Saccharomyces cerevisiae S288C: one gene and its partners. Changing the gene in region 2 together with the main gene of any one other region gives a genetic interaction. Each region holds a gene or a part of one and is shown on either strand. Other genes may lie near its edges.

Region 1 (4,234 bases), on a different chromosome or scaffold from region 2:
AGCTGCGATAGTAATCGGTTGTTCTGAATCAATATTTTCACTTTTTTGTATGACATCCTTCAGATCGTTGTACAGATTTGATGTTCTGCGGTGAAAATAGCGAACTAAATTTTCAGCGATCTGTATTTCTGAATTGTTGGGTTCTGGGCCAGAAACGTGCCTCGGAATCTTGAAATTATTTGCAAGGTGATATGGCGCTACCAGATAGCCTGCAGTAGTTAAAAGAAAAAACCCATCAATTAAAAACTGTAGCCATGATATGGGTTCTGTCACCTCATGATGTCGACATGTCGCATTTGTAGAGGCATCCTCTTGTAACTCCCCCAGTATAAGTTTTTCATACACCTCTAAGTCAAGAGGAGTTGCTTTGTTTTGTTCACCAGATGCGGTAAGAATTTCCACTTCTTTTTCTGGTGATTCTTCTATAGTTGAGCTCGAAGTAAGTTTGACTACTATGTCGTAAATTTCAGGCTTATACAACAAAATTTCCTCGCTGGTCGTAGCCACATAACCGTTCCCCTTTTTGAACGACTCTAGAAAAGGAATATCTGATGTTGATACCGTGAAAATAGGCTTAATATATTCATCGCTTACATGGTTTCCTATCAAGTTTTTTGGAAGCATTGATATTAAGAAGACACAATAGGCCAAAGAATTGCACAATTCGAACGATTCTCCTTGAGGAACTAGTATCAATATCCTTGACTGAAGGAGACTTGCTTTCCAAAGTGGAAATATGAGAGGCCCTAACTTCCTTGTCCAGTATGGCAAATATTCAACCAAATGCCGTCTTTCTTTGGGTGAATGTTCAAAGACTTCTACTGAATTTTCAGCCATGTGCCCTTGGTTATTCTCGTCAAAAAACTTTTCAAAAATATCAAACTTATCAAGATCACGCTGCCTTATCCATTGACCGAGTAAACTTTCTAGATAGCTTGAGTATCTGTTGGCAGCATACGCATGGTATATTTCCTTATAAAAGTGCTTTTTACTATCTGATGAGGCATTTTGGACATCGATAATTACACCAAGAGAAAACATTTGAACTTTACTCCTATCAATACGATTGTCATTCTCAATAATATCGAACGAATTTTGTTTGAAATAGGCGATGCCGTAATCATAAGTTGTCGTCTTGGCAGTTTGACAGACATCTAATTCTTTAGGAACTACAAAATTGACAACATCGTCAGTTTGTTCGTGAATACCGGCTGGTAACGATTTAAATTCAATATTGCTTAAGTCAATTGCCGCACCATTAATACTTTTAGACCATATTATGATATTTCCCTTTTTCATGTCAAATTTACTTAAGAAGATGCAAGCAATTCCCGGTTTTTCACCATTTGAGTTTAAAAGTTGAGTAATATTAAATACATTTGGCTTTATAGTTGGTTCTTCACCTCCGGAATTCATAGTGCTTCGAGGAACTTACTTGATCCTTCTTGAAGTAGCTATTAAGTTGTTCGAAATGAAGTAATTATTAAAATAGAAGTAAATCATTAAATGATGCCGCTCAACAGAGGTTATGCCAAATTAGTATATAGCATGATTTTACATCACTTTAAACGTATAATTTGTGAATGATGAGGTAGCAACAAATAAACAATGCAACAGTCTCTAGTCCTATGAACTAATTTGGCCTTGAAAACCCCCCGATGATACTTCTTTAGGTGTTACAAACTTACTCGCATAGATATTATTTTTTGAACGCCAGGTTAACAATAATTACTTAGCATGAAATGTCACCTCGACAGCTTATACCGACATTAATTCCGGAATGGGCACCATTATCCCAGCAATCGTGCATAAGAGAGGATGAGTTAGATAGTCCCCCGATAACGCCTACGAGCCAGACATCTTCATTTGGTTCTTCTTTTTCTCAACAGAAACCAACCTATAGTACAATTATAGGAGAAAATATACACACGATCCTGGATGAAATTCGACCATATGTGAAAAAAATAACTGTTAGTGACCAAGATAAGAAAACTATAAACCAATATACGCTAGGAGTCTCTGCAGGAAGTGGACAATTTGGTTATGTACGAAAAGCGTACAGTTCTACTTTAGGCAAGGTTGTTGCTGTCAAGATTATACCAAAAAAACCTTGGAATGCCCAGCAATATTCAGTAAATCAAGTAATGAGGCAAATCCAGCTTTGGAAGAGTAAAGGAAAAATAACGACAAATATGAGTGGTAATGAGGCTATGAGACTTATGAATATCGAAAAATGTAGGTGGGAAATTTTTGCGGCTTCAAGACTTCGAAATAATGTTCATATTGTGCGACTAATAGAATGCTTGGACTCTCCTTTCAGCGAATCTATCTGGATAGTCACTAATTGGTGCAGCCTTGGTGAACTACAGTGGAAACGTGACGATGATGAAGATATTTTACCGCAATGGAAAAAAATTGTGATTTCAAATTGTAGTGTTTCTACATTTGCCAAAAAAATCCTGGAGGATATGACAAAAGGGTTGGAATATTTGCATTCTCAGGGTTGTATTCATCGTGATATCAAACCGTCCAATATTTTATTGGATGAAGAAGAAAAAGTAGCGAAACTTTCTGATTTTGGAAGTTGTATTTTCACTCCCCAATCATTACCTTTCAGCGATGCTAATTTTGAAGATTGTTTTCAGAGGGAATTGAACAAAATTGTTGGTACTCCGGCATTTATTGCACCAGAGCTATGTCATTTGGGCAATTCCAAAAGAGATTTTGTGACGGATGGCTTTAAGTTGGATATTTGGTCATTGGGAGTGACACTATACTGCTTACTGTACAACGAGCTGCCATTTTTCGGGGAAAATGAATTCGAAACCTACCACAAAATCATCGAAGTATCATTGAGTTCCAAAATAAATGGTAATACTTTAAACGATTTAGTCATTAAAAGGTTATTGGAGAAAGACGTTACTTTACGCATAAGTATTCAGGATTTAGTAAAGGTTTTGTCGCGTGACCAGCCCATAGATTCTAGGAATCACAGTCAAATTTCATCGTCCAGTGTGAACCCCGTAAGAAACGAAGGTCCTGTAAGAAGATTTTTTGGTAGGCTACTGACTAAAAAAGGAAAGAAAAAGACCTCAGGAAAAGGGAAAGACAAGGTATTGGTATCTGCAACTAGTAAAGTAACACCTTCGATACATATCGACGAGGAACCGGATAAAGAATGTTTTTCGACTACGGTCCTTAGATCTTCGCCAGACTCGAGCGATTATTGTTCATCGTTAGGGGAGGAAGCCATTCAGGTTACGGATTTCTTAGATACTTTTTGTAGGTCAAATGAAAGCTTACCTAATTTGACTGTGAATAATGATAAGCAGAATTCGGACATGAAAACTGACAGAAGCGAGTCATCCTCTCATTCGTCATTGAAAATCCCAACACCTATCAAAGCCATGATAAGACTAAAGAGTTCCCCTAAAGAGAACGGGAACAGAACCCATATTAATTGCTCACAGGACAAACCGAGTTCCCCACTAATGGATAGGACTGTTGGAAAGCGCACGGTTAACAATTCAGGGGCTAGAAAGCTTGCTCATTCAAGTAATATTCTCAACTTTAAAGCATACATAAATTCGGAAGATAGTGACATTCGAGAAACAGTAGAAGATGTAAAAACGTATCTGAACTTTGCAGATAATGGTCAAATATAGATGAAACTACAGGATGATATCTGTCGGATTGGGTTAGCTGATAATCGTATAGCCGATGTGAAATATGATTATTAATTGATTTACTTGGTTATGGTAAATACATAAATATATATATAGAAACGGCAAATTACCCACATTTGCATTTGTATTAATAACACTAAAGATAATATTCATAATATACCATCATTGATAATTGAAATCGACATCAACATTTATCAATTGAGAGTTTAGTGGTCTTCTATTGCGAGAATATCGAACGATATGATTTATCTTGATCCCACTGTGTCGCGAAATCGCGGAAGTAAATTGAAAACAAAAGAAAAACAAAACTTCATCGATAAATATTGAGAAAACATCTCTTAAAAACAGTAGTAGATAATCTTGAGAATTTACTTTATAAAAAACAGAAGAAGGACTGAATATAGAAAGAATACTAATATAACATAATCATGTCAAGTAAACAACAATGGGTTAGTTCTGCTATTCAAAGTGATTCGAGTGGAAGATCACTCAGTAACGTCAACAGGCTTGCAGGAGACCAACAATCTATTAACGATCGTGCGTTATCG
Region 2 (2,744 bases):
CGGTACTATTCTCAGGAGGAATTGATTGTTCAGTAATAGTAGCGTTGATCTGCGAGGTGTTGCAAGAAAATGATTATAAATGTGGAAAACCAGTTATAGAGCTTCTAAATGTATCCTTCGAAAACCCCAGGACTGGTCTTTTTCCCAGTGATACACCTGATAGAAAACTGTCCATTAACAGTGCAAAGACTTTACAAAACTTATATCCTAATGTTGATATCAAACTGGTTGAAGTTGACGTTCCTTATGATGAGTATTTAAAATGGAAGCCATTTGTTATCAATTTAATGTATCCTAAACAGACTGAAATGGACTTGTCTATAGCCATTGCTTTTTTTTTTGCGTCGAGAGGTAGAGGTTTCTTAACTTCTCTGAATGGGGAAAGAACGCCATATCAGCGCCATGGGATAGTGTTATTCAGCGGACTGGGAGCAGACGAACTCTACGGTGGATATCACAAGTTTGCCAACAAACCACCCCATGAACTTGTGGAGGAACTTACAAGGCAAATAAACAACATTTATGATCGCAACCTGAATCGTGATGATAAAGTGATAGCTCATAATGGCGTGGAGGTGAGATACCCATTTTTAGATGAATATGTTATAAAGTTATCTACAGCAGAAATTCCCATTAATTTCAAGGTTAACAAATTAATCCTTCGAAAAGTTGCCTCGCAGTATTTGAAGTTGGATGGAATATCATCAGAACCAAAAAGGGCCATTCAATTCGGTGCTAAAAGCGCTAAAATGACAAAGGATGGTAATAAGCATGGAACAGATTTATTAAAAGAAAATAGGAATTGTTCATAAATTCAAATATTCAATATATTTTGCAGCTTGTTCAAAATTAAATGCTAAAAGTAGAGTAAATCCGTTGAACATACATAGTTTTGTAATGTCATTAAGGGTATCTTCAGAGTTGTTATCGTCTACTATGAATATCAGTATATTATTTTCGTTTCTAGATAAGGGCTGCATTCTCCTAGAGATATAATCGACATATAATTTGTGATAAGTCAAAGTTAAGAACAGTACACTTCTTCCACGAACTAGATAGTCGTAGTATATCATATTAATTCCTGTTGAAGATACATATCTCCAATTGGTGCTCTTTAAGTGGTTCAGGAGTGGATTTTCTTTTTGGGTAGTGTTCACTAGTACAGTTTTTCCCGGTCGAGTACTCCTGAAGGGTCTCTTTCGATTATAGTCATCTGTAGCCTTTGAGTCGGTCCATTCTTCCGGTTTTTGCTGATTGAAGGCGTTTATGACCTGGTTTGAATTTATGCGTCTTGATGTTTGCGGTTCCTGCTGCTGGAGTTTTGATGCATCTATTTCTAACGATTGAGATCCAGTAGTATCTGCACCACTCTTTTCCTTTCTCAATTTGGCCACACCAGCCAATATACTTTCAAATGAAGTAGGATCAGTATTGTTCATCTTCTAGGATAACCAACTTTGTTTATGCCCTTTTTTGTGTTGCGTGGCTGTCTCATAAGTTACAATTTTCTTTTTTGTTCTAACGATTTTAAATAGAAAAGTGTCTTAGATGAAAATCTTGCTGTGACCCAAACAAGAAAGAGCACTGTAAAAATCAAGCCATGTCCTCTCAAAAAAGTATGTAAATGAATAGCTCCTTCGTTGTTGCCACCGTACAGACACTTTACTAACTTTTAAGTTACTACATGTTCGAAACTTAGTCGATTTAACTAAACTAAATCCCGAGCAGCTGAATGCTGTAAAACAGCAATTCGACCAAGAATTGCAGCATTTCACACAGTCCTTGCAAGCATTAACCATGGCTAAGGGCAAGTTCACAGAATGTATTGATGATATTAAAACAGTCTCCCAAGCAGGAAATGAAGGGCAAAAACTACTGGTTCCAGCATCTGCATCATTATACATCCCAGGTAAGATTGTAGACAATAAGAAATTCATGGTCGACATTGGTACAGGATATTACGTTGAAAAGAGCGCTGAAGCAGCAATCGCATTTTACCAAAAGAAAGTAGACAAGCTTAACAAAGAATCTGTACAGATCCAAGATATTATTAAGGAAAAGACCCAGTATTCCTTGTCCATCGAGGCCCAAATAAGACAAGCCGCTATTAGACAGCATGAAGCGATGAGTAAACAACAACAGCAGCAACAAAAAAAGGAGTCGTCTACAGCCTAGGTAACTCTTTTGCTTTTCCTACGATTTTTCATATCTCATTTGTAGCCATCTGATATACGTTTATCTATATGCAACGTAATTTTTTATTTATCGTCACTTTGTAGTTTTCCGGAAAAGGCCATTGAAAATTTTTCAAATTCCTATGGCGATGAGCTGAAAAAATTCATTAAGTGTGCATTCAATAACATCTTGTTATATACTAATAAAAGAGGCTTCAAGACAAAATAAGCTAACTTAAATATGGCAAAAAAGAAATCTAAGAGCAGATCCAAGAGTTCTAGAAGAGTTTTGGATGCTTTGCAACTTGCTGAGAGAGAAATTAATGGTGAATTCGATAACTCCAGCGACAATGACAAAAGACATGATGCTCGTCGTAATGGTACAGTTGTCAACTTGTTAAAAAGGTCAAAAGGTGACACTAACAGTGATGAAGATGATATCGATTCTGAGTCGTTTGAAGATGAGGAGTTGAACTCTGATGAAGCGTTGGGCTCTGATGATGACTATGACATTTTGAATTCCAAATTCTCACAAACTATTCGTGACAAGAAGGAGAATGCAAACTACCA
Region 3 (5,022 bases), on a different chromosome or scaffold from region 2:
TCACCATAACAACATTTTTCTAGGGTCTTCAATCAACTCTTTAACAGTCTTCAAGAAGGTAACAGCTTCTCTACCATCTAGCAATCTATGATCATAAGTCAAAGCCAAGTACATCATTGGTCTTGAGACAATTTGTCCATTAACAGTGACAGGTCTCTCTTTGACACCATGCAAGCCTAGGACGGCTGTTTGTGGTGAATTGATGATAGGAGTACCGTATAATGAACCAAAAACACCACCATTAGATATGGTGAAAGTACCACCCGTCATATCTTCTAGGGTTAATTTGCCATCACGCGCTTTATGACTCAAGCGAACAATTTCGTTCTCAATATCTAAAACACTCAATGACTCTGCATTACGAACGACGGGGGTAACCAAACCCTTTGGAGTGGCCACAGCAACAGAAATATCTGTGTAATCACGATAAACAATCTGGTCACCTTCAATGGCACCATTGACGGCTGGAATATCCTTGGCGGCCAAGGTACATGCTTTGGAGAAAAGACCCATGAATCCGAATTTAGTACCGGTCTTCTTAATAATCTCATCTTTATACAGTTTCCTCATTTCCATCAAAGCTGACATGTCAACTTCGTTGAATGTGGTTAAGGAAGCAGCAGTGTTTTGAGACTCTTTTAATCTTTCGGCAATCCTCAATCTCATACGGTTCATTTTGACCCTGGTTTCTGTACGTGGAAATGGTGTGAAAGAGTTAGAGGCTACTGGGGGTTCCTGCGCCTTAGAGACGGTCTTCTTTGGTTGATCAGCCTTTTTTGGTTCTGTAACTTCTTTCTTTGGAGCGGCTTCTTTCTTTGGAGCAGCTTCTTTCTTTGAAGCCGTTTCCTCACTTGAGTTTTCCCTTGCGGCGACACCTTGCGATGGCTCCGCTTGTTCGGTAGGCTCTGGCTTAGATTCTCCAGAACCCTCAGCAGGTGCTTCACCAGGCTCGACCTGAGCTAACTCCTCACCAACAGTGACAGTGTCCTCTGGTTTGAAATTTAGCTTCGTAACAGTACCTGATACTGGCGAATTGACCTCAATATCAATTTTATCGGTCTCAATAGTGGCCAACAGCTCGTCCTCCTTAATAAAATCACCAACGTTTTTAGTATATTCCTTTAAAGAGCCTTCAGTCAGGGACTCTGCCATCGGAGGAACTTCAATAGAGGTAGATTTAAAACGATTGCTAGTTATGGAGAACGGATTCGCCGCAACTGAAATTTTCTTGCCGGATAAATATATTGAACCTAAGGATTCGACCTTGTTAGCTTGTTTGAACAAACTTGTAGAAGCATGTCTCTTGACGAAAGAAGCAGCCATAACATTTCTAGCCACTTTAGATTTTACTAAGGATTTGGCAGCTGCAGTACGCGTCGCTCTGGAAAGCATTGTTTAAATAATTATCTGAAGTTGTGTCTTTGGTTGTAACAAATGTGGTAGTGAAGTTTATAACAATATATCTATTCACTGATATATACCGTTAAAGATAGCTGCCTAATTTTTTATTTCGGATTTTTCTTTTTTTTACGTTAGATATTTCCTCCCCTGAAGCTCAAAAAGAGATTATATATGAAAAGTAGGCCTAGTTGAGGGAAAAAGGATTTGCATTTGCTGATAGACCAAGTGTGGATCCGAGCCCTGTAGTAGAATGGTGCTAATGTAGAATAAGAATAAGCTTTAGGAACCATAGATTCCTGCGTAATTTGTGGCCGCTTTATTGGCTCACTCCGGGCAGGACCTTAGTTTTGATTGGCTGCAAAAAAAGGGTTGTTAATATCGTCTTTGACGGAGATGCGGGTGGCTGGAATTGTTTTGTTTATTATTCCCCAAGAGAGAAGAGACAAGAAGTAGTAATGACGATGGAACAAAGATCGGTTCTAATAGGACCACAGGGTTGAATAGAGACGAGTAAAGACGCAACGGTCAAGGCTTTCCACGAGACGTTCGAATATGTCCCACAACAACAGGCATAAAAAGAATAACGATAAAGACAGCTCAGCAGGGCAGTATGCAAATAGCATTGACAATTCATTAAGCCAGGAAAGCGTCTCAACGAACGGCGTAACAAGGATGGCTAACTTAAAGGCTGATGAATGCGGCAGTGGTGATGAAGGAGATAAAACAAAGCGGTTTTCGATTTCAAGTATTTTGAGTAAAAGAGAGACAAAAGACGTGCTTCCGGAATTTGCAGGCAGTAGTTCCCACAATGGAGTACTCACGGCGAATTCATCAAAGGATATGAACTTTACTTTGGAACTAAGCGAGAATTTGTTGGTTGAGTGTAGGAAATTGCAATCCTCTAATGAAGCTAAAAATGAGCAAATCAAGTCTCTCAAGCAAATTAAAGAGTCATTAAGTGACAAGATTGAGGAGCTCACTAACCAAAAAAAGTCCTTCATGAAAGAGTTGGATTCAACTAAAGATTTAAACTGGGATTTAGAATCTAAATTAACAAACTTGAGCATGGAATGTAGGCAATTAAAAGAATTGAAGAAAAAGACTGAAAAATCTTGGAATGATGAAAAAGAAAGCCTGAAACTTCTGAAAACAGATTTGGAAATTTTAACATTAACAAAAAATGGCATGGAAAATGATCTTAGCTCTCAAAAACTTCATTACGATAAAGAGATTAGTGAATTAAAGGAAAGGATTTTAGACTTAAATAATGAAAACGACAGATTACTTATTAGTGTTTCTGATCTAACAAGTGAAATTAATTCCTTACAGAGCAATAGAACTGAAAGAATAAAAATTCAAAAGCAACTTGATGACGCCAAAGCATCTATTTCTTCGTTAAAAAGAAAAGTACAAAAGAAGTATTATCAAAAACAGCATACTTCCGATACTACAGTAACATCTGATCCTGATTCTGAGGGGACCACTAGTGAAGAAGACATTTTTGATATAGTGATCGAAATTGACCACATGATTGAAACAGGCCCCTCTGTCGAGGACATTTCTGAAGATCTTGTCAAGAAATACTCAGAAAAAAACAATATGATATTGTTATCGAATGATTCATATAAAAACTTACTACAAAAAAGTGAAAGTGCATCCAAACCAAAAGACGATGAATTAATGACCAAAGAGGTGGCTGAAAACCTGAATATGATCGCGTTACCAAATGATGACAATTACAGCAAAAAAGAGTTTTCGTTAGAATCTCATATTAAATATTTAGAAGCTTCTGGCTATAAAGTTCTTCCTCTAGAGGAGTTTGAGAACCTAAACGAATCCCTATCAAATCCATCATATAACTATCTCAAGGAAAAACTTCAGGCTTTGAAAAAGATACCCATCGATCAAAGTACGTTTAACTTGTTAAAAGAGCCTACTATTGATTTTTTACTGCCTTTAACATCCAAAATTGATTGCCTGATAATACCTACCAAAGATTATAATGACCTTTTTGAGAGTGTCAAGAATCCATCAATTGAACAAATGAAAAAATGCCTGGAAGCAAAGAACGACTTACAATCGAATATTTGTAAATGGCTGGAGGAGAGAAACGGCTGTAAATGGCTAAGTAATGATCTGTATTTTTCAATGGTTAATAAGATAGAAACACCTTCGAAACAATACCTGTCAGATAAGGCAAAAGAATACGACCAAGTGCTGATTGATACTAAAGCCTTAGAAGGTTTAAAGAACCCAACGATAGACTTTCTAAGAGAAAAAGCTTCTGCATCAGATTATTTATTACTCAAAAAAGAAGACTACGTGAGCCCATCACTGGAATACCTAGTTGAACATGCCAAGGCCACCAATCACCATTTACTATCGGATAGTGCATACGAAGACCTAGTCAAGTGCAAGGAGAATCCTGATATGGAATTCTTGAAGGAGAAGTCTGCCAAACTAGGCCACACTGTGGTATCCAACGAGGCATATTCTGAATTGGAAAAGAAACTAGAACAACCATCACTGGAATACCTAGTTGAACATGCCAAGGCGACCAATCACCATTTACTATCGGATAGTGCATACGAAGACCTAGTCAAGTGCAAGGAGAATCCTGATATGGAATTCTTGAAGGAGAAGTCTGCCAAACTAGGCCATACTGTGGTATCCAACGAGGCATATTCTGAATTGCAACGCAAATACTCAGAATTGGAGAAGGAAGTAGAACAACCATCTCTAGCATACTTAGTTGAACACGCCAAGGCTACCGATCACCATTTACTATCGGATAGTGCATACGAAGACCTAGTCAAGTGCAAGGAGAATCCTGATGTGGAATTCTTGAAGGAGAAGTCTGCTAAACTAGGCCATACTGTGGTATCTAGCGAGGAATATTCTGAATTGCAACGCAAATACTCAGAATTGGAGAAGGAAGTAGAACAACCATCACTAGCATACCTAGTCGAACACGCCAAGGCTACCGATCACCATTTACTATCGGATAGTGCATACGAAGAACTAGTCAAGTGCAAGGAGAATCCTGATATGGAATTCTTGAAGGAGAAGTCTGCCAAACTAGGCCACACTGTGGTATCCAACGAGGCATATTCTGAATTGGAAAAGAAACTAGAACAACCATCACTAGCATACCTAGTCGAACATGCCAAGGCTACCGATCACCATCTGCTATCGGATAGTGCATACGAAGACCTAGTCAAGTGCAAGGAAAATTCTGATGTAGAATTCTTGAAGGAGAAGTCTGCTAAACTAGGCCATACTGTGGTATCCAACGAAGCATATTCTGAATTGGAAAAGAAACTAGAACAACCATCACTAGCATACCTAGTCGAACATGCCAAGGCTACCGATCACCATCTGCTATCGGATAGTGCATACGAAGACCTAGTCAAGTGCAAGGAGAATCCTGATATGGAATTCTTGAAGGAGAAGTCTGCCAAACTAGGCCACACTGTGGTATCCAACGAGGCATATTCTGAATTGGAAAAGAAACTAGAACAACCATCACTGGAATACCTAGTTGAACATGCCAAGGCCACCAATCACCATTTACTATCGGATAGTGCATACGAAGACCTAGTCAAGTGCAAGGAGAATCCT
Region 4 (3,254 bases), on a different chromosome or scaffold from region 2:
CCTCGTGTCTTGTATATGCTTTGTAGAAATAAGGAATAGTAATGCTGCATGCCTTCAGTACTTCGAGGGAACCGTAAGGGATTGCTGTCTTTAGCGAGTCTAGAAAAATACAATTGATTCTTGTGACTTCATCTATTGTAGGTGGGAAGAGTCGATTTAATTTGGTTGTGGATAACCCATTAATTTCTTCATTGAGTACTCTGACTCTCAAGGCGATCAGGAATTTTTGCAAAAATTCTACCAAATTGAAAGTAAAATTTGTTTGTAGTTGTAATAACTCGTTGCAAATGGCCTTGACAAGATCATCATCCGATTCTGTGGGTAATTCGTCCTCTGGCGCCTTATAACCATATTCTGTCTGTTCCGGTGAGTATTCTGTGACTGGGTTAAAAAGTTGTTCAAGTTGTTCACCCAGATGGAATACCAACCTATTATTTAGTTCGATGGTGGATTCATTGTTTTCATAAATAACATCTAACAGGGTAGAGCTGACAAATCTATTTTGCAGAAGTCCTGATGTAAAGAAGCGCTTCCCCAGATCTTCTGGAGGAACTGCTGTTATCAACTGGCAACTACTAGCCAAATCTCCAGCATAAGGGGGGTCATAGTCGCAATTTTCCGATTTATTGGACAATATTTGTGATAAGTCTGATGGTGAAAGTAATGGATAGCGCTGTAACAGAATGACAGCAATGCATTTCTTAACATTGCTTTCCTGATCACTTGGACTCAAATTCTCAATGGCCGGATAGTATTGCGAGTTGGAAGATATATCGACGGATTCGAAGCATGATGTTCCTAATTTGTCGAATATTATAGCGTTCAACTTATTGCTGTTGGGGGACTTGTACACGCAGACAAAGAACTTCCCCCATATCAAGTCATCTGACCCGTGATAGAATACTGATTGAGTGAACACATTATCCGTCCAGTCTGAAAGTGATTTATCATCATCAAACAATGAATGACCATTTAGCGGTGTGGTCTCGACAACAGATTTGGATAGTTTGATGTTAAATAAGGTTTCATCGTTCTCTTTGTCTTTCTTTTCAGAGTAAAGAGACGACAGGTCTTTCTCCATTGGTGAGGTGTAAATATACTCTTTTAGCAACCAGATAACAGCCCGAACACGTAATGAGTAGCAGGTAGCAGCAGTAGAATGCGAGTACAGACAAACTAGTGTTGTTTTTACTATCCGCAGTGAGAGAAATCTTCCTCATTGAAGATCAAAGCCTTTGTTTACCATTGTTTTTATTTACCTTTTTAGAATTGTTCGAACAAAACCCTAGGTCTTGGCAACTGGCAATCGCTCAACATGACCTAATTTATAGCTTAGGGTTCTTTTTTGTCAATTCTATGCGTATGACAAAGAGCACCACGATGGTGATCGAAATCTCTAGGAGTAGCATACCACAGCGATATTATTTAGTAGTAGGCGGTTTATTATCTTTGTCCCTTTATACTGTTGTGTTTCTTGCTTATTGCTTCAGTAGGCAGCGTATAGTATAACCAGAAAAAAGTGAAAAATAAACTAAAAAAGCACTATGAGATGAACGGTAAAAATCCACCAGAGATTTGCTCACTAATAATCCTGTACCATGTCCATCAACCTACATTCCGCACCCGAGTATGATCCATCTTATAAGCTGATCCAGTTGACACCAGAGTTACTGGATATAATACAGGATCCGGTTCAAAATCACCAGTTAAGGTTTAAGTCATTGGACAAAGACAAGTCTGAAGTTGTACTGTGTTCGCACGACAAGACTTGGGTGCTGAAGCAGCGCAAACATTCAAACACAGTTCTACTAATGAGAGAATTTGTTCCTGAACAACCTATTACTTTCGACGAAACGCTCTTGTTTGGACTGTCCAAGCCGTACATGGACGTCGTGGGATTCGCCAAGACTGAATCAGAATTTGAGACCAGAGAGACACATGGCGAATTGAACTTGAATTCAGTACCAATATACAACGGAGAACTGGATTTCTCCGACAAAATCATGAAGAGGTCATCTACAAAGGTTATCGGGACCCTGGAAGAACTACTTGAGAACTCACCATGTTCTGCGCTAGAAGGTATATCAAAATGGCATAAGATTGGTGGATCTGTGAAAGACGGTGTGTTGTGTATTCTTTCACAAGACTTCCTTTTCAAAGCACTGCATGTACTACTGATGAGCGCAATGGCAGAATCACTCGATCTACAGCATCTGAATGTTGAGGATACACATCACGCTGTGGGGAAGGACATTGAGGACGAGTTCAATCCATACACAAGAGAAATCATTGAAACAGTGCTGAATAAATTTGCTGTTCAAGAGCAAGAGGCTGAAAACAATACGTGGCGCTTGAGAATACCGTTTATAGCTCAGTGGTACGGGATTCAAGCGCTAAGGAAATATGTTTCTGGAATAAGCATGCCAATTGATGAGTTCCTCATCAAGTGGAAGTCCCTTTTCCCACCTTTCTTCCCATGTGACATTGACATTGACATGCTGCGAGGCTATCATTTCAAGCCTACCGATAAGACTGTCCAGTATATAGCGAAAAGCACACTACCAATGGACCCCAAAGAACGGTTTAAAGTCCTGTTTAGGCTACAGTCACAGTGGGACTTGGAGGATATCAAGCCTCTAATTGAAGAACTAAATTCAAGAGGTATGAAAATAGACAGTTTCATCATGAAGTATGCCCGCCGTAAAAGACTGGGCAAAAAGACCGTGGTCACGAGCAGGTAGCACACAAAACTGCCTTCGATGGGCAATGCGAATATATAGCGGAACCACTAAAGTAATAGTGGATGACGTGAATAGCAACAAATATCTATCATAGTAGCTTTATATATTTATATATATTACAATACTATTATGCACCCTATTACCCGCAATAGTTGATAGTGACCTACCAATTTTAGATACGGTCGCTGACAAATAGTAAGGCCATCGCCCAGGGATATATGATGACTATCTAAGTAACTCACTCAGAGTAAAGACCGACAGAGTTCATTAGTGTGTTATATTTTCTATTTCAGATACATCATTTTCATTAAAATATATCGCATACACGAAGGAACTGCTACAACTGGAAGATGTTGAAATCAACTGCTACAAGATCGATAACAAGATTATCTCAAGTTTACAACGTTCCAGCGGCCACATATAGGGCTTGTTTGGTAAGCAGGAGATTCTATTCCCCTCCTGCAGCAGGCGTGAAGTTAGACGACAACTTCTCTCTGGAAACGCATACCGATA

The links.
Region 1: mutations in GIM5 (region 2) and ELM1 together harm fitness more than expected from each alone (negative genetic interaction), as found in Saccharomyces cerevisiae (6 studies listed by BioGRID, with this or other methods).
Region 3: mutations in GIM5 (region 2) and NUM1 together harm fitness more than expected from each alone (negative genetic interaction), as found in Saccharomyces cerevisiae (5 studies listed by BioGRID, with this or other methods).
Region 4: mutations in GIM5 (region 2) and DCC1 together harm fitness more than expected from each alone (negative genetic interaction), as found in Saccharomyces cerevisiae (6 studies listed by BioGRID, with this or other methods).

Annotation. Positions count from the first base shown.
Region 1 is NC_001143.9:346,645-350,878, reverse strand, and holds ELM1 (serine/threonine protein kinase ELM1), read left to right. Parts: upstream 1-1,742; coding exon 1,743-3,665; downstream 3,666-4,234. Other genes in the region: ANR2 (Anr2p), read right to left, coding at 1-1,416; centromeric DNA-binding histone H3-like protein CSE4, read left to right, coding at 4,115-4,234. UniProt on the Saccharomyces cerevisiae protein: Important role in G1 events required for bud emergence and septin organization. Coordinates cell growth and cell division at G2/M, essential for efficient cytokinesis and for regulation of SWE1.
Region 2 is NC_001145.3:80,675-83,418, forward strand, and holds GIM5 (Gim5p), read left to right. Parts: upstream 1-1,600; coding exon 1,601-1,616; intron 1,617-1,699; coding exon 1,700-2,175; downstream 2,176-2,744. Other genes in the region: YML096W (putative asparagine synthase), read left to right, coding at 1-812; DNA repair protein RAD10, read right to left, coding at 807-1,439; UTP14 (Utp14p), read left to right, coding at 2,416-2,744.
Region 3 is NC_001136.10:753,675-758,696, forward strand, and holds the start of NUM1 (Num1p), read left to right. Parts: upstream 1-1,953; coding exon 1,954-5,022. Other genes in the region: KGD2 (dihydrolipoyl transsuccinylase), read right to left, coding at 1-1,392. UniProt on the Saccharomyces cerevisiae protein: Controls nuclear migration. NUM1 specifically controls the interaction of the bud neck cytoskeleton with the pre-divisional G2 nucleus. Functions in dynein-anchoring.
Region 4 is NC_001135.5:94,108-97,361, reverse strand, and holds DCC1 (Dcc1p), read left to right. Parts: upstream 1-1,598; coding exon 1,599-2,741; downstream 2,742-3,254. Other genes in the region: BUD3 (Bud3p), read right to left, coding at 1-1,081; NFS1 (cysteine desulfurase), read left to right, coding at 3,092-3,254. UniProt on the Saccharomyces cerevisiae protein: Component of the RFC-like complex CTF18-RFC which is required for efficient establishment of chromosome cohesion during S-phase and may load or unload POL30/PCNA.